6 linked regions of the Xenopus tropicalis genome follow. The protein of the gene in region 1 purifies or fractionates together with the protein of each later gene. This does not show direct contact. Links are inferred from orthologs where the notes say so. Each region holds a gene or a part of one and is shown in the gene's direction. Other genes may lie near its edges.

What was found.
Region 2: the proteins of abi1 (region 1) and nck2 purify together in Homo sapiens (affinity purification with mass spectrometry; 3 studies listed by BioGRID and IntAct, counting the BioPlex papers as one, with this or other methods). This does not show direct contact. The link is inferred for Xenopus tropicalis from reciprocal best matches to the Homo sapiens genes ABI1 and NCK2.
Region 3: the proteins of abi1 (region 1) and brk1 purify together in Homo sapiens (co-immunoprecipitation; 3 studies listed by BioGRID and IntAct, with this or other methods). This does not show direct contact. The link is inferred for Xenopus tropicalis from reciprocal best matches to the Homo sapiens genes ABI1 and BRK1.
Region 4: the proteins of abi1 (region 1) and kiaa1522 purify together in Homo sapiens (affinity purification with mass spectrometry; 3 studies listed by BioGRID and IntAct, with this or other methods). This does not show direct contact. The link is inferred for Xenopus tropicalis from reciprocal best matches to the Homo sapiens genes ABI1 and NHSL3.
Region 5: the proteins of abi1 (region 1) and eps8 purify together in Homo sapiens (affinity purification with western blotting; 4 studies listed by BioGRID, with this or other methods). This does not show direct contact. The link is inferred for Xenopus tropicalis from reciprocal best matches to the Homo sapiens genes ABI1 and EPS8.
Region 6: the proteins of abi1 (region 1) and eps8l1 purify together in Homo sapiens (co-immunoprecipitation; 4 studies listed by BioGRID and IntAct, with this or other methods). This does not show direct contact. The link is inferred for Xenopus tropicalis from reciprocal best matches to the Homo sapiens genes ABI1 and EPS8L1.

Annotation. Positions count from the first base shown.
Region 1 is NC_030682.2:24,995,730-24,999,496, forward strand, and holds part of abi1 (abl interactor 1), read left to right. Parts: intron 1-971; coding exon 972-1,148; intron 1,149-3,767. UniProt on the Homo sapiens protein: May act in negative regulation of cell growth and transformation by interacting with nonreceptor tyrosine kinases ABL1 and/or ABL2. May play a role in regulation of EGF-induced Erk pathway activation. Involved in cytoskeletal reorganization and EGFR signaling.
Region 2 is NC_030678.2:110,097,442-110,101,208, reverse strand, and holds part of nck2 (cytoplasmic protein NCK2), read left to right. Parts: intron 1-3,171; 5' UTR 3,172-3,187; coding exon 3,188-3,413; intron 3,414-3,767. UniProt on the Homo sapiens protein: Adapter protein which associates with tyrosine-phosphorylated growth factor receptors or their cellular substrates. Maintains low levels of EIF2S1 phosphorylation by promoting its dephosphorylation by PP1.
Region 3 is NC_030680.2:128,858,466-128,862,847, reverse strand, and holds the start of brk1 (protein BRICK1), read left to right. Parts: upstream 1-1,525; 5' UTR 1,526-1,542; coding exon 1,543-1,660; intron 1,661-3,576; coding exon 3,577-3,659; intron 3,660-4,382. UniProt on the Homo sapiens protein: Involved in regulation of actin and microtubule organization. Part of a WAVE complex that activates the Arp2/3 complex. As component of the WAVE1 complex, required for BDNF-NTRK2 endocytic trafficking and signaling from early endosomes.
Region 4 is NC_030678.2:90,219,412-90,222,381, reverse strand, and holds part of kiaa1522 (uncharacterized protein KIAA1522 homolog), read left to right. Parts: coding exon 1-2,121; intron 2,122-2,970. UniProt on the Homo sapiens protein: Able to directly activate the TNF-NFkappaB signaling pathway.
Region 5 is NC_030679.2:157,895-161,661, reverse strand, and holds part of eps8 (epidermal growth factor receptor kinase substrate 8), read left to right. Parts: intron 1-2,136; coding exon 2,137-2,248; intron 2,249-2,584; coding exon 2,585-2,728; intron 2,729-3,767. UniProt on the Homo sapiens protein: Signaling adapter that controls various cellular protrusions by regulating actin cytoskeleton dynamics and architecture. Depending on its association with other signal transducers, can regulate different processes.
Region 6 is NC_030683.2:104,746,972-104,750,738, forward strand, and holds part of eps8l1 (epidermal growth factor receptor kinase substrate 8-like protein 1), read left to right. Parts: intron 1-703; coding exon 704-865; intron 866-1,643; coding exon 1,644-1,793; intron 1,794-1,872; coding exon 1,873-1,955; intron 1,956-2,096; coding exon 2,097-2,313; intron 2,314-3,005; coding exon 3,006-3,114; intron 3,115-3,469; coding exon 3,470-3,516; intron 3,517-3,767. UniProt on the Homo sapiens protein: Stimulates guanine exchange activity of SOS1. May play a role in membrane ruffling and remodeling of the actin cytoskeleton.

The DNA of each region.
Region 1 (3,767 bases):
TGTCAACAGAGTGAAGAAAATCCATAGAACATCACATTTAATTTCCATTTACTTGTTTATTAACTGATTAGCAGCAAGCAAGCAGTCATGTCAGAGCAATCAATATCCATCAGCTTGTTTGGAGCATTCATTTAAGAGGCTTTCCGTAGGAGAAATCTTGCAGACCTTCCTTGCCATCAGATATACGTGGAGGTAAAACCTTCATAATGAATGTAGTGAGGAAGTTTTCCTTATATACATGTAAGTTGTATAAACTCCAGAACATTCAGTGTGTGATGGCACAAAGGAAAGTGTACAAGAATAGGTACTTAGCAAACAGCATGCATCTAAACTGCTAATATCTAACTCATTATTTGGTGATGGATTGTTGAAATAATTGATGTAATTTCTCCCCAGGAAACAGCATTTTTACTGGGGTTAGTAGTGGTTAAGCGTAGGTGGAATTGTGGAAATGAGTGGGGTCTAATCGGAATGGCCTACTCTTGGCCTTAGCCAGAAAAAAAACAAATATGTAATTTTCCATTCCTTGATTATTTAAGATCATGCCTCTTGTTGCGTCAGTGGGTTGTTTCTGAACAAATTGTCTTTGCATCTGTTCACTAATAGGTCCAAAGTAATGCAACTGCCCAATTTAATTTTATTGGGCAGGATGGAACATTCTGAGTTTTAGACTAGATTTCTGGGTTGTGAATCAACCCAGTCAGACCCTGCATGTAAGCCAAACAAGCAAATAGATCAGTCAGTGGCATGCAGGCTGAACCTTGGACAGTCACCAAGGTCTTTGACAGAATTTGGGAGGATTATAGCATCAATAGAAATTATCTAGTGGCACAGCAATTTTATTGTATGTGTTTTGGCATTAAAGCCTAAATGCGATTTGGGTGATGTCAGTGCTTAGCTTGGTTCTTCCTTACCGCTTTACTGATGCTTCCTTGCTTTCTATGCTATCGCTGCTGGCAAATTGTTTGCAGTGGGCACAGGCTCAGCACCGGGTTCCCAGTTTGGCTCAATGACCAGGCAGATCTCTCGGCACAACTCCACCACTTCCTCTGCTTCTTCTGGTGGCTACAGACGGACTCCTTCTGTGACTTCTCAGTTCTCTGGCCAACCTCATGTCAACGGCGGGCCTCTGTATTCTCAAAACTCAAGTAAGCTGCTTCTCTGCTTCCTATGCTGCCCTTGTATGCAACTCATGTATGTATACAACTCATGTATGGTGGCTTCATCCATGTTAATATGGAATAGAAATATGTTGGCAAAACACTCACATATTGGCTTAGTGAGGAATAACTGTACTTGGATAACATCCTGTAATCTACCTACTTCTAAAGCAAGGGGGTACTGGAAAGATTAAAGAAACACAGAATTCCAATATATACTCTATCTATAGGGGCTGTCCATGACCTGAAAAGAAGCCAAATTTATGTTTGATGAAATATTGTCTGCTAATATAATGAATTTTAAACAACACCACCACCTGCTGGTCATTTTGGCCAACTGGCTACAGTCAGCTGAAAATTAATTTGGTTAGAAAAGGAATGTCTTGTAACGTTGCTCTGGTTCGAAGCGACCAGAGAAGCGTCAGATGCCTCTTCTCTGCTCACTATCTTCATTTTCAAAGCAGATCCACATTACAAGACTTTCTTTTTGTCATAAAATTAATTTTCAGCTAATTGTAAAATTGCTCTGAGCTATTTTACATACATTTATTTCAAGGATTTATATTTAATTTAAGCCTTAATTGATTTACCAGCTGGTTTGCATGTTATGGCTGCAAGAGAAAATAAGCTGGGAAGAACAGGGCAGCTATCTTTTCTTTATTACTTATAGCAACATGAATTATCTTTTATGCAACAACTTTATATATTTTCTCATGCTGTTTTTTGTTTAGTTCTTATCTTGTCTTTTCCTGCAGTGTTTGTCTGTGCTGTGTGCTACGGCAAGATGTCACTGGTTAATGTTTTGATCAGTTACATGTAGAATGAAATATCAATATACTGTATATCAATACTTATAGCTCCAGGATAACCCCTCCCCCCCTTCCATTTCATCTAGAGCTCAATGAATTGGGCTTGTGCTGAACATATCTTTTGCCTATTATTTTAATTAAGGAATATCTATGGTTTTTGTTATTTTTTGCCTAGAACAAAAACTATAACCACTTTAACTTTCCAACTTCCTGTCTCAATTCATGTTTCTTCCTTGTTTTTCCTTGTCACTGTTTGAGAAGTAGTAGGTGGTAGAAATAATAATAAAAAAAAAAGAGAACAGTTCACAGATAAGCCCTCTGTATAATACACTGCTCCTTATCTCAAAAGCTTCAGCATAGGCAAGGGAGGGGTTTGTTTATATAAAGGTCCTTATATGCATTTGCACACCTGTTGGGGGGCGAGTGCTCCTATAAAATGCAACACAACTTTTAATTACTAGATTAATGAAAAGTATAGCCAGAATGCATTGTCAGCACAAGTCCTGTTTATTGTGGCCATGCTGAGTAAAGTTGTGTATAGGTATATACAGTCCCTTAACCCTTAACTGCTAAAGCCTTAATAACCCGGAACAACTGCAGTTCTCACTCACCATCAGCAGTCATGACATTATTTAAAGATCTAATTAAGCATAGTTTCATGAAGTTTTTTTTTCTCACATTACTTTTAGTATATAGAAGATGTAGGTAATCTAAGCAACTTTGCAGTTGACTTTTTTTTTTCTCAAAGATATATAAATGTGTGTAAAATGTATGTTTTCCCCCCTTCAGTCAGTGACACAAGTAATTGCATAGTGTTCACTGGAGAACTGTAAAACAAACTTATTGTATTCACATTAAAAAGACCAACTGCAAATTGTATTACAGTACACTGGCTGCATTATACTACTTACAGTAGCCTTGGCCTTCAATAAAGTAGTTATTTTGCACTGTTATGAAATGCTCACACAATTGTCTGTTTAAATGGGTGTGTAAATCACTGCATCTAAGTCTGTTGGTACTACACGTTGCATGTTATAAATAAAAGTTTACCCTTAAAGGTCCATTAATACAAATAAAATGGCTCCATATACATAAAATGGTTGTTGTGGGTCTGACAGACCATCAAGGGGTGTATATATAATTATCTTCTGGTGTTTGATTATTTTATATGGCGGCAACAAGTTCCACCCTGCTTACAGCCCCAAAGCCTAAATCTCCAGGCATTTGTATAAAGTAAATGGAACCATTTTTTTTGTTGGTCGCCCTTTAAAGGGATGGTCACAGCAGTTTCTGGCCTTACGCACCACAAGACCTGTCTGCCTCCTTTGTTTTTTGAATGCAGATTTTATGATGAAATGACAATATGGCTTGAATGGACATTTGCAGATCTACTGAGATAACTAGAATTGCCATGCATTAAAGGAGAACTAGAAGTTCTGAACCATATTAGATCATTTATATGCTATTAAGTGTCCAGCCATACAAATTTATTCAGCTGCTTTATAATTAGAAGTTGATATTACCCAGTTGCATCTTTTACTTTGAGCCACCTTGTGTGATCAGCTGACAGGAAATAACGCAGCTTCTAGATGTTACAGGAAGATGTGTGGGATTAAAAAAATAAAATACAACTCCAAACAATGTCCATACACTGGCTGCTGTACTAGCATGAATGTGTGCCCTTGGTTTGTGTGTAAGCAGTGCCTCACAAGAGCCAGAGGGATGGACTTTAGAACAGGTATGGGACCTGTTATCCAGAATGCTCAGGACCTGAGGTTTTCCGGATAAGAGATCTTTC
Region 2 (3,767 bases), on another chromosome or scaffold:
CTTTCCTATGCTGCCTGTGTGTGCCATACTCTCCCTGCCCTATGCTGCCTGTGGAAGGTGAACCTGGCAGGGGTTTGTTCCTGGAGTTTGGCATTTGGAAATAGTCATTATATGGTCCCCAAGGGGTGTAATTATATGCTGGGGGGTTGCTGTGCTATCCACATAAGAGGAGGAGGCATATCGATTTAAGTGTATGACATAATATAATTCTTTCATATATAAATTAAGGGTGATATCCCTTCAGTGAGCACCAACCATTGGGTTTTTGCTGTGTTGCCACCATTAATGTGGGGATGGTCTTAAAAGCTCTTGTGATAGCATGGGTGCAGTTTGAAGTGGGTGTGGTTTAAAAAAGGGGAGTGGTCAAAACTGGCTTCCATTATCAGCCCTCCACCATGTAGGCAAGAAAAATTCCAGCCCTTGGTACCACAGAAGTTGGACAGCACTGACTTAGATAATCAGAAGTTGCGCAAAGTTTCCTCCTGCTGGCAACTTCGCAGGAGTTCGGATAAAGAAGCGATGCAAAAGGGCTTTCGACCAGGACTGCTGTTGTTGCTGGTGGAAAGCCTTTTTTCAGGGACAGTTTGTCGCCTGCGATAGCAGAAATCTATCACAGGCGACTCCACCGCCGCTCCGTTGGTTCTTGCCCTTAGTTTCACTGGAGCAGGCACTAGAGTGAATAACTAACAATGTAATGTTTTGCATAACATGTTAGTGCTGTGTAAATAAAAGGAAAAGAAAAATATAGGGGAAAGCAGTAAGATATTTCATAGCTTCTGCTGCAGGTATTGGATCCGTTATCTGGAAACCCATTATCCAGAAAGCGCTGAATTAATGGTAGGCCATCTCCATAGCCATAGACCTAATTTTAAGCAAATAATTCAGTTTGTTAAAAATGGTTCTCTTTTTCTCTGTTATAATAAAACAGTACTTTGTACTTGATCCCAACTAAGAAAAACTTTATCCTTATTGGAGGCAAAACCATCCTATGGGGTTTATTTAATGGTTTAATGTATTTTGTGATGCAAATTAAAAAAAGATCCCTTAACCAGAAAGACCTAGGTCCTAAACATTCTAGATAACAGGTCCTGTACCAGAATAAAAATGCTTAAAAATATATGTAATTAAGGTTATATTTAAAGGGTTTGTGTATAAAGAAGCTTTAGAATACATTAAGCATCTCCACTCTAGTGCTATGGTACACCATGTCAATATCTGCATAATTGCAAAGTTGTACTTTGAATGTGGGTATACAGGTATGGGATCCCTTATCCAGAAACCCGATATCCAGAAAGCTCCGAATTACGGAAAGCCTGTCTCCCATAGACCCCATTTTAATCAAATAATTCAGATTTTTAAAATTGATTTTCCTTTTTCTCTGTAAAAATAAAACTGTGCTTTGTATTTGATCCCAACTAAGATATAATTAATCCTTACTGGATGTAAAATAATCATATTGGGTTTAATTAATGTTTTATTGATTTCTTAGTAGGCTTAAGGTATAGAGATCCAAATTACGGAATGACCCCTTATCCGGAATACCCTTGGTCCCGAGCATTCTGGATAACAGGTCCTATACCTGTTTATTGTAGCAGGTTTTAAATGTAAAATATGTTTAAGTATTTGTGTACAGAACTATGTCCATGCTGGTTTTATGGTCCTCTACATTTCATACCCCTTATCTGTGGACAGTCATTATGCACAATGTTATAAATATACCCCCTTAGTGTATTTAAATGCATATTTCTTAATGATTCTAAAGCTATAAGGAGTTTATAATAAGATAGGAACACATAATGAATTCTATGAAAGATGGTCTTCCTGTAATTTAGAGATTTCTGGATGACTGCTTTTCAGATAATGGATCCCATACCTGTACAACAGATTTGCCAAAAGCTACAAATGTTAAAATCATTTTTTTTTTACCAAAAGACAAAGCTGTGTACTTTTTGCTGATCATATTTTATTTAGCAGAGCCTAATTTAGAGTAGATTCAATATGGCTTAACTAACACATCATTATAGCAGTCTAGACACACTCTCTTTTAATAATGCACAGTCTGAAATGACCTTAATTCTAACTTAGTGTTTGAAAAAACCTTTAGATCAAAAGCTTATGCAATGTCTAGGGTACTTTGACACCGGTTTATTGCTGTTCAGCAAATCTCAACAAGGTGAGGTTTGGATGGATCATAAATACTGTACATACTTTGAAAAAAAGGTTAATTATGATTATAATGGTAGTTAACTATTGAGCCTAACTATTATTAGAGACAAGTTTTCTTTTACAAAGGAACGCCTCTGTGCACTGGGGGTACCAAATGTTAGGTACCCTCCCAGTGATTGTAATCACTTACCCGATACCCTGGGTCATTGCTCCTGTTAGCAGAAAACTGCACCAGCTTGGGGTACTTCTCAACAAGCACCACAGAGCGTTCCTCTTCTTCCACTGCTTCTTTATTCATTCCCCCGGGGCTGACCATGCATAGTAGAGTTGTACTTCTTACACTACTGCACATGTGCACTTGCACCAAGAAAGAATAAGCAGGAAAAGAATTGCTCCATAAAGCTCAATGAAGAGTAAGGGGGCACTAGCCTGAGGTATCAGGTAAGTCATTACCTGATACCCGCTTCCCCAGTGAGTGAAACTTTCCTTCTCCTTTAATGACATATTATAGGTTTTATCTAAATATTTATAGTATTTAGGCGTATTTAGTCATAGACCTGCATGGTGGCTTAGATCTTGGAACTCCTGCCTTGCTGCTTTGAGGTCCTAAGTTTGATTTACACTTGGGAACTTACTACTAAAACTGATCCAACTGAACATCGGGGGCTGTCAATGATGAATAATCTCTGTAAAGTACTTATAAGTTGTGGCTGCATATAAATAAAGGATAATAATAGGTTTGCCGTGAATGCAAATTCTTACAGTACTCAGTATGAGACATGTACATTTAAACGGGAAGTGTAGAACTTTGAATAAAATGTTTACTTACCCTTTAACAATATTTTTAAAAGAAATTTGGCATCACTAACATTACCATTCATTAAACCGTTTTTAATACTTATTACAATGTACTTTGTACATTGTACAAAGTCTTTTATTAAGTATTGGTTGTAGTTATATAGCACTTTAATACTGTAATAAAATGTTTATTGTCTTTATTGGCAGATTGACTCCATGAAAGATGACAGAGGAAGTCATTGTTATTGCCAAGTGGGATTATACGGCACAACAGGACCAAGAACTTGATATTAGAAAAAATGAACGCCTGTGGCTACTTGATGACTCCAAAACCTGGTGGAGGGTAAGAAACACTGCCAACAAAACTGGATACGTGCCATCAAACTACGTGGAGAGGAAGAACAGCTTAAAAAAAGGATCTCTTGTTAAAAATTTAAAGGACACTCTGGGTAGGTTTCTACATTTTAATGTAAATTTTAACACAGCAGTATTTAAAGGGAGATGTCTACCCAAAACCTTTTGCATAATGAAAAATATAATTGTAAGCAACTTTCACATGAGTTAAACATTTTTAATGGTTTTAAAGTAATTTTAAGTGTAATTGCAAATATGTTTCTGGTTCTGAAGCAATATCCAGCTGATGAACAGATTTGCAGGAGGAATGACTGAAAGAGATAAGGAAATACTACTTTTGATAGCAATTACATTTACAAATAAAACCATAGGAATTTTTTTATTAATGTATGTTATTAGTGCCCAAAGCTCACAGTGCTTCTAGAATCAGTGCTACTACATTAAGTGTC
Region 3 (4,382 bases), on another chromosome or scaffold:
TCTATGGAAGATGGCCTTTCCGTAATTCGTAACTTTCTGGATAATGGGTTTCCGGATAAGGGGTCCAATACCTGTATAAGGATAATTTAATTAAACATTAATGTAAAACAATATCAGTACAGGTATGGAATCGGTTATCCAGAAACACATTACCAACACATTCGAATTATGGAAAGGCCAGCTCACATAGACTCCATTATAAGCAAATAATTCTAATTTTTAAAAATGTATTTCCTTTTTCTCTGTAATAATAAAACAGTACCTGTACTTGATCCCAACTAAGATATAATTACCCCTTATTGGGGGCAGAACAGCCCTATTGGGTTTATTTCATGGTTAAATGATTCCCTTTTCTCTGTAATAATAAAACAGTACCTGTATTTGATCCCAACTAAGATATAATTACCCCTTATTGGGGGCAGAACAGCCCTATTGGGTTTATTTAATGGTTAAATAATCTTTTAGTAGACTTAAGTTGTGGAGATCCAAATTACAGAAAGACCCCTTATCCAGAAAACCCAAGGTTCCGAGCATTCTGGATAACGGGCCCCATACCTGTACCATGTTGTTGCACCAATATTTCTTTTCATTCAAACACAAAACATTAGCTTTGACTGGTTTAATGTAGTTATTAAAATAAAACCGAATAACCGGCTGCTATGAGTTAATGCCCTTTGGCCAGTTTTCCCCCATACTAGTAAAGGGGCAGCTAGCAGCTAGCAGGTAGCTATAAACTTCAGTATCCATAGTCCATAATGAGGCAAACAGTACAGGAAAGAAGCCTATAACTAATAACAGCTTATGGTTGTGCTTAATCATACAGTGCATTCAAGTAGTATCTCTCCAACAATGAACATATTTGCTCTGCCATCCTAATTACAGGCAATTTTAGTTACCCTTTATTATCTATTCCTGTAAGATAGTATCCGCTCTCCCAGCATGCAGTGTTTGATTTCAGGGAATAAAGGTCTCTAGAGAAAGCTGCCATATTACATCACCGCTACCTCCAGGCTACGTCATGAGTGTTGCAGAGAGCTTCAGAGTCAATGGATTCCCGCACGACTATCGGACAGCCGAAACGCCTAATCCCATGTTCCCGGGGGATTTACACAATCCAGCAGCTACCCAATCGCCATAATACCTGTGCTTATAACCCCCTGCACCTGCACCAGCCCTTACCTGTTTCATACGCCCGTCATCATTCCGCACGTCAGTTCCGCTTCGGCCGATACGCAGGCGCAGAAGAGCCTACCGACGCAGCGGCAGACATATTTGTATCGGCTTGTAAAAACCACTCGGGGTGGAAAGCACAGGTTTGAACAACACTCAAATATAGTGACATTTGTTATTTGAACCTTTATAAGCCGTAACTTCCGGTTGTTCACGTCTCACTTATGTTCTTGATGCTTGCATTATTCATTTGAGTCCACTTTAAAGATGGCGGCCACTGGTGAAGGCTGGGGGCGCTTCCGTTCTGACATGCGCAGTAGGTGACGCTGTATTTTTCCCTTGGCTGTGCTATAGATAGGGAGAGAGGCTAAAATGGCCAGTCAGGAGGATCCTGTGCAGAGAGAGATTCACCAGGATTGGGCCAACCGGGAGTACATCGAGGTGATCACCAGCAGCATCAAGAAAATCGCCGACTTCTTGAACTCATTTGGTGAGAGTGGGGGCGGCGCTGTGTCCTGCAGGGGATCCTTCCTAGGGCGTAGGGCCGGCAGGGCTGGGCACTGTATGCCTGGGCGATGGGCAGCGCCTGTGTATAGGATGCCAGCCTCTCCATCCTGCCCTGTTAACTGCAGCTCCCAGAATCCTCTGGGCCTTGTGCATCCCAGTAGCTGTACAGCCTCCAGTGTGACAGTGTCGCCTTGTTATTATCTTACCAATGGCCATGGTGCCTACACTATATAACCATGGCTTGCTACTCCATTACTTGTGTCAAACAAAAGCAATTTATACACTGTACTATATAGATCCCAGCATGTACATTGCAGTGGGTAATTACACTATATATAGAGTGAAGTGTAAGAGTGAAAGCAGCATTTACACTGGGGGTGTAATTAGTAACCTTATTGGGGATATTGCCCATAGTAACCGTCAGATCTTTGCTTTTGTTCTCTAACTGTTCAAATCTAATTGCTGATTAGTTGCTATGGGCAACATCCCTAGTGATGTTGGCTTTCACTCTGTAATAAATAAGCCCCATATGTCTATGAGCAGGGAGAGGGGGAGAATGAAAGCAGCATGTTACACTGTGTGAGTGAAAGCAGGTACATTACAGTGAGCAGGGGATGGAGGGCCCGCACAGGCTGTAGGAATGATGCAGTGATCATGGTGATGGTGGCTAATGGACCTGCCTCTAATGCTTCTTTCCTCACATCCACTAGTAATTGGGTCACTGGGATGCACTGAATCCAGGATTCTGCCAAGATTCTCACACAAATCTATGCCTCTCGCCAAACCTAATTCTTAAAATCAGGTGATTTTTTTTTTTTTAACCCTCAATTGTCCAATTGTCAGTTCGGTATTCAGCCAAATTGTTCACGAAGGATTTGGGGTTCTGCCAAATCCCCAAAATAATGGATTTGGTGCATCCCTATTGGCCACCTTTTCTAAGCAGTACATGAATCTGCATGGTTGAACCACAGAGTACATCCTGGTTGGCAGTATTTGCAAATTAGGGACACTTTGTTGCTGGGTGCCTTTGCCTTATTGTGCCACATCTGCCTCATGTGTGAAGCATAGTGCCATGGTTAAAGGGACCGTATGCCTTCTTTTTAAACATTGGATAATATATAGGTCTTGTGCTGAACATACTTTTGACTGTAAGGAAACGTTTATGGTTTTTTGTAAGCACCGCAGAATTAGAAATTGGGACTAATTTCACTAATATTGAGAGTATTGGTTGACATTGCTCTTTAGGACCAGGAAGGAAACTGTGATTTTAGTTCCATTTTCTAATTTTGCCATGTTTAGTGCAAGAAATAACAAAATCAGAGACAGGGCCACTCCTGCAATGAGGCAAGGCACACCACACATGGTGTGATCGGCCAGTTACCAGGGGTGGCAAAAAGCTGCCTCTGGTAAGTGGTCTGTGCACTAGTGATTCCGCCACCCATTTGACCCACTGATGCTGTAGTTGTAAGTGCAGGGTGGGAAAGGGGAGGCGGCGTCAGGGCTGCTCCCTCAGAAGGATTATGGGATTGGGAGGATGCAGGCTGAGGGCAGCCGACTACTTTATTTAAGTCTCAAAGTAGATCTGCAGAGGAACAGGGGGCTGGGCTTAGGGAACTGTTCCAAACCATATTAAAAATCATAAAAAAAACTGCATATTTTTTTAATTGATGTATTGCTTGAAATTATGTTTTCTTTTTAAAAAGCTTAAATTGTGTTTGGGTGGAGTTCCCCTTTTTTTTGCCCAGTTCCTGCAAATGTAGTAGTTCCTGTTAATGCAATGCATGTAAGTCTATCGGTATCTTTTATTTTTTGTTACACTGCAAATATAGGCAGTGCTCTCTATGGCTGACTTGTGAAATGCGTTGGTCAGTGGTAACCTTATACTCTGCTTTCTTCAAGATATGTCTTGTCGCTCACGACTGGCAACCCTAAATGAAAAGCTGACTGCATTAGAAAGAAGAATTGAGTATATAGAAGCAAGGGTATGTAATGTTATATGTTTTGATTTGGTGGGGGGCACAATGTCACATGGGGCATACTGATATTTTGTTTGTCACTAGGAAGCAACCATGGCATTAATAGGAACCTTTTATAGATCACCCTTGACCTGATATGACTTGTACATGCTGACCTTGTGACTTCCTGTGATGTAACCCCCAGAAATCTGTGGGTCTTTTAGCCACTGAAACAAATAGCATTGATTGAAACACCCTATGTGACCATCTAATGGAAATATATAATGGAGATATATTGCCCAATACTTTTGCCCCCACTGTTAATTTACTGGCTGGCTGACATGCACTGAATGCCACCTGAACTCTCCATATGCCGGCTATGTGTAAAGCCCCCTTTTTGCTTTTAAGCAAGCTTCATGTTGGATAAGCAAGAGAATCAAATGCTTATTCACAATGAACTAATAAAGCTCTTCTGTGCCAAAGGGCACATGTACCATCTCCCCGGCTGTCGGTACAGCAGCAAATGCCTTGAGACTGAGGGGTGGCTATTGGAGAAACCATCTGCATATCAAATAAATCCTTGGCCCTCTGCCAGTCAGCTTCAGCAATTTGCTCTTGAAAATGGCAGCTTAAAAATTACTTAAAGGGCCACTATACCCGCTAGCAGAATGGTGCTCACAAAAGGGCGTATAGCATTATATTAACTCGCTGTGCTAGCTGTGACAACCTTGGGCATTGTACCCTTATGGC
Region 4 (2,970 bases), on another chromosome or scaffold:
GTTCCCACAGGAGAACTCCTCCAAAACCAGAAAGAACAAGTTTGCTGAGAGCAAAGGAGGGATCATCAGTAAGCACTAACTCTTCTGCTGAAGCTACTTCTCCTATTTTGGCCAGCCCAGCCAGAGTTGGTACTTCAGTGGGAGAACAAGGGAGGCTAGGTTTAATACCTCCACATCCAATTGTGCCTGCTCCTTTATGCCCTCCTCCAAGCAAGATTAGTGGACTTGTGAACACACCGAGTGGCACACCAGATGCATCACCACCTCCTTCTCATCACCCCACACCACCACCTACCAGAAAATCTGACTCAGAAAGACAGAGTATGCTCATCTCTCAGAAAATCTTTGAACAAAGAGAAATTCTGTGGCCACCACCTCCTCCTGATGTCCCTGATTTACAAGATACGTCTATGGCAGATTTTCCTCCTCCTGAGGAGGAACTTTTCCTGCCCCCACCACCGTCACTGGACTCTGCATGTGATTCTCTACTAAATTCAGATAAAATATGTATTGTTTCATATAAAGAGGAGGCAAAAAGTTGCAGGGGGCCTTCTCAGTTACCTATTGAACACATGGACATTTCAGTTGCCGCAGAGGCCCAACCTGCTGCTCTCTCTTTTCTTGCTCCTGATTCTACATCTTCAACTCATTCCACAGAGCCTGTTCCTGTTTCTGTTTCTAAAGTTAATTCAGCAGATACTTCAACAATGTCTACACCTGTATCTGTGCCTCTTTCCATAGATCCATCGTCTGCCTTTGTGCCTACGCTCCCACAGCCCATTCCTGCCTCTGCAACAATTCCCACAGTATTTGCATCTGCCTCTGTGCCTCCTCTGACAGAGACCAAACCTGTGTCTGTGCCTCCTCTCGCAGAGACCACACCTGTGGCTGTGCCTCCTCTCACAGAGACCACACCTATGTCTGTCCCTCCTTTCACAGAGACCACACCTATGTCTGTCCCTCCTTTCACAGAGACCACACCTATGTCTGTCCCTCCTTTCACAGAGACCACACCTATGTCTGTCCCTCCTGTTACAGAGATCACACATGCTTCTGTGCCTCCTCTCATAGAGACCACACCTACTTCTGTGCTGCCTCTCCCAGAGACCACACCTTCTTTTGGAAAGCCTACACTTCTTGGGGTGCCAGCTATCACAGATGTTTTACATGCTCCTCTTGTGCCATCTGTAACTTATAAATCACATACTGTTGCCACACCATTAGTGCTAAACTGTGCCACCAGCACTGTGCCCACTACAGGATCAGATGTTGCTAAGGACTCATCTATATCCACAGTGGATCCAGCTATTTCCACAACTGCATCTAGAAGCACAGTTTCTATGGCTCCTGTGCCGTTATCACAAACCTCTAGATCATCCATCCCACTGGTGCCAGGTAGTCCCAGGCCCAAGCCAAGCACATGGAAGCCAGTGAGTGCCCCTTCGAAAAAGATTGCAGCTCCTAATCAGTCTGTTGCTGCTACACCAAAGGAGGATGCTAACTTGCCTATTGTGACCCCTTCTCTGCTACAGATGGTTCGACTGCGCTCTGTACAAGTCAGAGGTCCACAGGAGCACAAAAACCAGGCATTTTCTGGAGTCCCTGTACCGCAAAAACCTGTACGGAAATCACTCTCTCTGAGATCCCCACCTGGCTTTAATAGCCCTGCTGGGGAAAGCAATGTAGAAACCACAAAGCCACTACAGAAAATTGCAGAGCCTGAACAAACCCCCTCTGCACAAAGATCTCCTGCCTCTGCTGCCAGTTTTGTGTTTTCCCGGGGGTCAAAAAAGTTTGTGTTTGAGCCTCCAGCATCAGAAGAGGCTGAAGCATCACTGAAGAGAAACCTAGTGGCAGAACTTAAATCACAGGGCATACCACGGAGCCCAGAGGAGAAACCCCCGCTACAGAGAAAGCCAAGTAAAGTTCCTCCACCAGTAGCAAGAAAACCATCACTAGCAAAACCACGAACATCAACCAGCTCTGACATCTCGACAGGAGACAGCAATGGAAGTGCGTGTACACCCTGTGACACAAGACCAGCTCCACCAGCAACAGGGACAAATGCAGCTGAAACTCTGGCTGGCCATGAGCAGCAGCAACCCAGACCTGTGGAGCAAGGTAATATTATCTATTAAGAATATCTGCAATATATCTTAGAGCCCTGTGCTAATCCTGGCATGTCTCCATCACATAATTTTTCCAAGTACAGCTGAAGAATCTATTGTTGGTGTGGGATTTATTATCTGGAAACCCATTATCCATAAAGAGTTCAGTTTTGACCCATTTTCTTTTTCTCTGTAACAGTTAAACAGAGCTTTTTACTTCACAGTAACAAAACTAGCATATTCCTGTATCTACGTTGGTAGCTAATTACATTTTTGTGGCTAATAACATTTAAAACATGGATTGAAGCTAGCTTATTAACAATTACAAGGTGCTGTTTTCTTTTTTCAGAGAAAATGCAAATGAATACAAAATGAAGAATTGTTTGTTTCAAAAGGCAACTAAAGGAGATAGTAGCTGTCTAAGTGAGGACCGCATCAATGAGCCAATGCGGCCCTTGATTGACAGGAAAGTCAAGCCTGCCTGAGCATCATCTAGCCATTTTGCGGCCAGATATCGGTTGGGGAGGCCTATATATACTAGCAAATAAGCTGCCAAATCGGTCTCAATGACCCAAATCAGTAGCTTAAATCTGCTTGTGTATGGCCACATAAAGAAACCGCATTTGGCATATTTAAGAGCTTTTTAGATAATAGGTTTCCAGATAAAAGGCTATGACACATGGAGCTACTTATAGCCAGCTACTACTAGTTGCGGCTACAAATCGCAAGTAAATACCCTGCCATAAACAATACTTAGAATTGACGCTGCTAAAACACACATAAAGACAATATTGTAGATACAAAGTATTGTCTATTTAGTAGTTCGATGTGTCATTGCCCTAAGGCCAGAGTCACACACGGT
Region 5 (3,767 bases), on another chromosome or scaffold:
AAATAAGGAAGGTTAATTTATTAAAGACATTTGCATGAACATTATAGAAATCTAACCCTAAAATAATTAATTTACCAGAGACTTGATCATATCTTAGAGATATATATATTATATAATGCATACATTTTGTCAATAAAAATATTTCCTACCATTGTGGTTTCTCGTTGGCTTATTTGCAGATCAGTAAGTGACTCCATATGTATCAGCAGGCCCCCCAGGTTATTGAGAGTCGGGGGGCTACATTCAGCTGCAGGAGGGTATTGGACCTGGGAGAGGCAGCCCGGCCCTGGGGCCAAAAGAGAGAGGCGCCATTTGGCATGTGGGATTAGGCAGATGCATGGGTCTCTGGGGCAGAGAGAGAAGTCTATAGGGGGCAGAAATCAGCTGCAGGGGGCAGAATGTGAGAATGAGACCATTGGTTGGGCCAGAGCTGCAGGTGTAGGAGAGAGGGTTCTGTGTCACCTGGTAGAGAATAGCGAGGAGAGACTTTATTGGGCCCCATCAGAACATTGTCACTTAACCTAATTTAAAAAGTTCTAAAGAACCACGCTGCAGAATAAAAAGGATTCAGAACCCAGTATTTCTAAAGTGGATCTTGCTGAGTAAAGAGTGGAACTCTCTGGCTTATTCATTGGGCAGGACTGTGCAGAGAAATGATGCACTGTATGTATTATTGGTTTGTGAGCCTCGTAATGATATGATTGGGAATGAGGGGGGACTCTTGCTGCTGACTCAGATGATTGACCCATACTGTGATGAGGAATGATTGGGCTTGTTGGGTGGCTCATGTTGGGGGTTTTGCTAGAGGAATGATTGGGCTTGTTTAGTGGCTCTTGTTGGGGGGTTTTGCTAGAGGAATGATTGGGCTTGTTGGGTGGCTCATGTTGGGGGTTTCTGACAGAGGAATGATTGGGCTTGTTGGGTGGCTCATGTTGGGGGTATTTGCTAGAGGAATGATTGGGCTTGTTGGGTGGCTCATGTTGGGGGTTTCTGACAGAGGAATGATTGGGCTTGTTGGGTGGCTCATGTTGGGGGTGTTTGCTAGAGGAATGATTGGGCTTGTTGGGTGGCTCATGTTGGGGGTGTTTGCTAGAGGAATGATTGGGCTTGTTGGGTGGCTCATGTTGGGGGTGTTTGCTAGAGGAATGATTGGGCTTGTTGGGTGGCTCATGTTGGGGGTGTTTGCTAGAGGAATGATTGGGCTTGTTGGGTGGCTCATGTTGGGGGTGTTTGCTAGAGGAATGATTGGGCTTGTTGGGTGGCTCATGTTGGGGGTTTTGCTAGAGGAATGATTGGGCTTGTTTAGTGGCTCATATTGGGGGTTTCTGACAGAGGAATGATTGGGCTTGTTGGGTGGCTCATGTTGGGGGTGTTTGCTAGAGGAATGATTGGGCTTGTTGGGTGGCTCATGTTGGGGGGTTTTCCTAGAGGAATGATTGGGCTTGTTTGGTGGCTCATGTTGGGGGTGTTTGCTAGAGGAATGATTGGGCTTGTTGGGTGGCTCATGTTGGGGGTGTTTGCTAGAGGAATGATTGGGCTTGTTTGGTGGCTCATGTTGGGGGGTTTTGCTAGAGGAATGATTGGGCTTGTTGGGTGGCTCATGTTGGGGGGTTTTCCTAGAGGAATGATTGGGCTTGTTTGGTGGCTCATGTTGGGGGGTTTTGCTAGAGGAATGATTGGGCTTGTTGGGTGGCTCATGTTGGGGGATTTTGCTGGAGGAATGATTGGGCTTGTTGGGTGGCTCATGTTGGGGGTTTTGCTAGAGGAATGATTGGGCTTGCTGGGTGGCTCATGTTGGGGGGGTTTGCTAGAGGAATGATTGGGCTTGCTGGGTGGCTCATGTTGGGGGATTTTGCTAGAGGAATGATTGGGCTTGTTGGGTGGCTCATGTTGGGGGTTTCTGACAGAGGAATGATTGGGCTTGTTTGGTGGCTCATGTTGGGGGTGTCTGGAAGATGATTGAGGAATGGTAGGAAGCCTACAGCATACATCTAGTGCTCTATATAGTGCCCCGGGCCCCCCTGTTTATCTGGGCATTGCCATAAACAAGCAGCTAAGAAATGAGCAGGGCACACAGTGTGATGAACTGTTCTGATCTTTCCTATTGGCTCAGTTAAACCTCTTCTTTTATTGAAGGAATTTTGAGGAGCGCGACCAAGTGGAGGCCCAGAGATACGCCTTGTGCAAGTACGACTTTGTGGCCCGGAACTCAAACGAACTCTCTGTCCTTAAAGATGATGTCTTGGAGGTAATGTGTGGCCACTGTATGGCTTGTTGTTTGCTTCCTAGTGGCATTAAAGGGGAACTCCACCCAAAAGCTGTTTTATTTGTATAGAGAACATCCTCCTAATAAAAAGGCATTTCTGCCAATTGCTTTGCACAGCAGTGTCTGTCCCTTGCTTGCGGAGTTTATCCGCACCCCGAGAATCTGCCTCATGTAGGAGGAGCCTAACAGCTACTGATTTTTCCTCTTGGGTGGAGCCAGAAAAATCCCAAGGGGGGAATCTGTTGTTCTGCTTTTAGTGAAGCCCCCAAATCCTGTAGAGTAAAGTGCAAACATGTGACTCTTGTGTGACTTCCCCAGGTCCTCGATGATAAGAAGCAGTGGTGGAAAGTCCGGAGCTCGAGTGGGGCAGTCGGTTTTGTGCCAAACAATATTTTGGTAGCAATGAAGCCACAAGATCAGTCAGCAAAGCCAATGGAAGCCGCGTACACGCACACAATCCAGGTACCATCTAGCGCCTGGGTCAGTACCACCTGATATGGTGCCCCCGGCACACACACAGCCCAGCCTCTAATGTCACACGTTGATTAATCTGCCCCCATTATATTGCCAAGCTGTGTGTTAGTGCTGATTGTGTCTGTCTGTAGCTTCTGATGCCAAAGGAGGAGTTTGAGATCTTCCAGGTACCACTTCCCCGAGTGCCCCCTCTGATCATTCACTTCTACCTTTGCACTGACTCAAAGTTGCTTTTCCTTTAGCCTCCCTATTCCTTCTGTGTGTTCTCCTTAATGGTACATACCTGTATATCTGTCTGTGTGCGTGCCTGTCCCTTCCCAGAATTCCCTGTGTGTGCATGCCTGTCCCTTCCCAGAATTCCCTGTGTGCTGTGTTTGCATGTCTGTCCCTTCCCAGAATTCCCTGTGTGCCTCTTTTGTTCGTTCATTTGGGCCTTTGGGGGGGCCTGGGGCCACACCTTTCTCAGAGAGGATGTGGCTTTCAATCCCCCTGGGTTGCTGGGGCTTTTGGTTTCCCAGGTGGGAGTGTCTTGGCCTGTGGATGTTATGGAGACATTGGGTGTGTAAGAGCAATATGGCGGCTCTCCTTTGGGTGCCAGTTGTGTTATATCTGACTCTCTCTCTCCCCCCCACCCACAGCGATTACTGGGAGAACTGTCTCAGGTAATTCCTTCTTCCCTACTGCGCTCACCTTTATAAAGCTTGGGGGGGTAAAACCATTATCATTGAAATATACTTATTTAGCAGTATGTGCGCTTGGGTAATCCTAAATAGGAAACCGCCATTTTAAGAATTAAGGGCCTCCCCCTGGGATCATAGGATTCACAGTGCACACAAACAAGCCAAGGCACACATACATGCTAGGCCCCATCAGCCAATGAATGGGCAGTTCTGCCTTTTGCTCTCACACTACTTCCTGTTACAGTTAGAGCTGCATCACTTCCTGTCAGCTGATCTCTGAGGGAGCACACAGCCCATCACTTCCTGTCAGCTGATCTCTGAGGGAGCACACAGCCCATCACTTCCTG
Region 6 (3,767 bases), on another chromosome or scaffold:
GGCCCACAGGCTGAATGTGGCCCCCTGCTTAGAGCAGTGATTTCCAACCAGTGGCTCATGAACAACATGTTGGATGTTGCTCTCAGTGCCCCCAAACCAGGTAGTTATTTTTGAATTCCTGACTTGGGGGCAAGTTTTGGATGAATAAAAACAATATTTACTACCAAATAAAGCCCCTGTAAGCTGATAGAGTGCATAGAGGCCCCTAATAGCCAATCCTAGCCCTTATTTGGCACCTCCATGAACTTTTATGGTGCTTGTGTTGCTCTCCGAGTCTTTTTACATTTGACTGTGGCTCACGAATAAGAAAGGTTGGGGACCCCTGCCTTAGAGGCTGCATTCACTGTATGACAACATCATGTTAATTAAAATTGGCACTTCAACAAGCTGTATGAGTATGAGCTGTATAAGTATGACAGCACTGCTATATAGTATTTGAAGGAAAGGCCAACATAATGCATCAGCAGATGCAAGACTTGGCAAAAAGATGAACTAACCTATATCCATGCTACATAAATATCCGTCTGTATAATCCAGCTAGCAAACATGTATGTGTATTTCCAGCTTAAATCTTTATTGCAGAAAGTGCTCCATATTATATATTAGCCACAATTGACCATAGATATGCAGGAACCTATCTGATCTGAAGCATCCTCTCCTTGCTTTCAATGTAACAATACTTCTTGTTCTGTTTCCTTGCCAGCATCTGGTTACATTCACAATTGGGGAGGATGATGATGTGCACACCGTGGAAGATGCCATCCGTAAGCTGAATGCAGTGGATAGCAAGGGGAAAATCTGGATCCAAGAAATGTTAATAGAAGTGAACAGTTCAGTGGTCAAGCTCGTAGATGTAAACAGCAAGGTGAATTCTCTCTTTCTGCTACTTCTCTAGTAGATGCTTTTAGTCCCTTTTAAGCCTAATACACTCTAGTGTAGTTGCTATCTACAAGAACAAGTATTAGTTACAGTGGGGACTTAAATGTATTCTAGTGCTGAAATAACTGAAGTGCTGGAATAACAGGACCCCTAGTGCCTAGAAATAGAGAATGCCCTTCCAGTGCTGTGAAGAGAATTTCCCAGCCGAGTCAATGCGTCTGCACCCACTGATATGAACTAATGAACAAATGCAGGGAAGGAATGTTCTGTGCACACAATGCCTGTTTAGTCTGCATGGTTTTAAAGACGTTTGATGGTTCCTTATTGTGAGGATGTCTTAGCTAGCTGTTTTACACATGGGGTAGGGCTGCCGTGCGTGCTCAGCCTATTCTGTTGTAATGTTTATTGTAAAGGAGGGATATGTAACTAGTGAGCATGCCATTATTTTACACCATAGCCCAGCATACAAAGCCTGCCTTCGGACAAAAGGGTATAATGGGAGCTCAACAAGTCATATCTGCTAAAAAGGCTCATTATAAAGTGGGATACCTTTACTAAGCACATCAACAATGGGACAACTATCTGCTTGTATGTAACAAGAAAATAATAACATAAAACCCTTATAGAATTAAAACTTGAAGCCTGTTATTGCATTGCACAGAATCAAGCAAATAGCAAATTATTATTGCAGATTTTTGCTGTTCTTCAGATTTAGACAGGTGTATTTAAAAGGGTAACTACATATCTATTTTGACATTTTGCAGGAGGAACTAGAAGAATTTCCCTTATCTGCCATCCAGCGATGTGATACAGTTCTGCCAGAGAGAAGGAACCACCCTCTGTTGATACTGGTGTGCCAGGACACATATCAGCCAAAACCTGATGTGTATTTCTTCCAGTCTGATTATGTTGCGGTAAGACAGCTCCATAAACACCGACTGAGGCTGCATATTTATTGTGCAGGCATTTACATGTTTTATTTTTATGTTATAGGCACATTTAATCAAGGAAGACATCAACAGTGCTGTGTCTGATTTTCAGTCAGGTGTTAATGCAAAACGTCCTGAAGCACTAAGGTGAGGCAACTAGATTGAATTCTTTCTATGGCCTAGTACAACTATGGGCTGTTTTCCCCATAGCTTTTAAATATCCTTGAGACGGCAAAATATACATATATATTCATCACAACCAGCTAATGCAAGCATTTGTTTGTGCAGGAACAATATGGAGCAGATTGCCCAGGGTGCACCTGGCCCGAATACATTCACCCCGCTAGGCCAGTGGAGGCAGCCGACATCACAGTATGTTACCCCAGCAGAAATCCTGGAGAGAGAAGCACAACGTAAACCAATGGTAAAGCCACCTCGCTCATCTTTGACCAAAATCATTGTCAGTTCAACTGATCAGGGGCAACAGTCAATTGAGACACCACAGGTAATGTGGCTTAGTCTGTAATAAAGAAGGACTGCTGGTGCTCGCTTTTAAAGCCCCGTGGAGGTGATGTAGACTCATTTACTAAGGGGTCTAGGAACCTACCTAGCACTCTTCTGTGCCTGTTTGCACTAGCACATTGCACTAAGTGTTGTGTAGAATGTCCCTGTTGCAATGTATTAGTGGCAATCATGTTACATAAACACACATAGGTGCAAACAATCCTTGTGCTAAGGTAAACTTGATCTATGGAGAAAAACATGTTCAAAGCAAACATGCAATTTAATATAAACTTAGAAGCTGCTGCCTCTCAGTAAATGAGCCCACGATATGCTTGCTTGTAGGTTCCCATAAATAACCAATAGTTTCTATGCGCTCTAGCACAGGGTGTGCAGCCTAAGCACCTAACCCCATATGCTTGTAATACCCATTAATGCTTGGCCAGGGGTAGCAGTGCTCCTGCCCTCGAGGTGGTGGCATCGTTCTTGCTGCTTTAGAAGCAGGTGTTAGTTTTGCCTATAGATACCAATAACCACCTTTAATAAGGGAAACACAGCGCAGGGCTGTGCGGCTGTGCCGAAAGCTACGTTGAAATACACCGGGTATACCTTTTACTACCATCCCTTATTAAAAGTGGTTTATGGTGTCCCTAGATTAGCCCTTCCATTTTAATAACTTTATGTTATAATTTTAAGTACCCACAGGAACCATTATATAGTGAGATCAAGCGTCATGACAAACCACAGCAGTTTGTACAAGAGTCTGGGAGTCCTCAGCTGCAACAGAAAACATTAAAAGTTCCAGGTGAGGCTGAGTTTTTGAGTTTCATGTGTCATAAATGCATAAGGATTCATGTACTATAGAATAAAGTACAACTATATTTCTGTTAAATGAAATACAGCACTAACCTAGAGCAGTGGTTGTCAGACTTTTTTGGTTTATGCCCATTGTTTAGAGTCCCACTTCACTCAATGAAAAGTTACAGATACAGGAAATCATTAGTGTATCAACCATTTAGCCATAGAGCCTAGACAATCTTGGACAGCAAATAACTGTTCCCCCCAAATATACCTGACCTTCTGACTCCTGGGATAGCATTGACCCATCTATATTGACTCACCTTTAAATAATATATATTTTATGCCTTTTTATCTATTAGGAGAAGCAGCAACAGACCCATCAGCTGTTCGATCCGGACATGAAGTGGTGAGTACCAATTTGTCAGTTTTCCATGTTGTTGGATCACAAAGTTCTTGTCCTCTGATCCTGCATTGTAAGAAACACAGCCTACTCACCCACTAAGAATTACACCTTCCAGCCTTGGGGGATACTGAGAACTGTCGTTTATCAATACCTGTAGATTCGACATGTCTGATATGGATATATTGTATAAAAATACTACTTTCTTTTGTATACAATGCAAGTTCAAAGGAAAGAAGTATTTTTGTCATTCAATC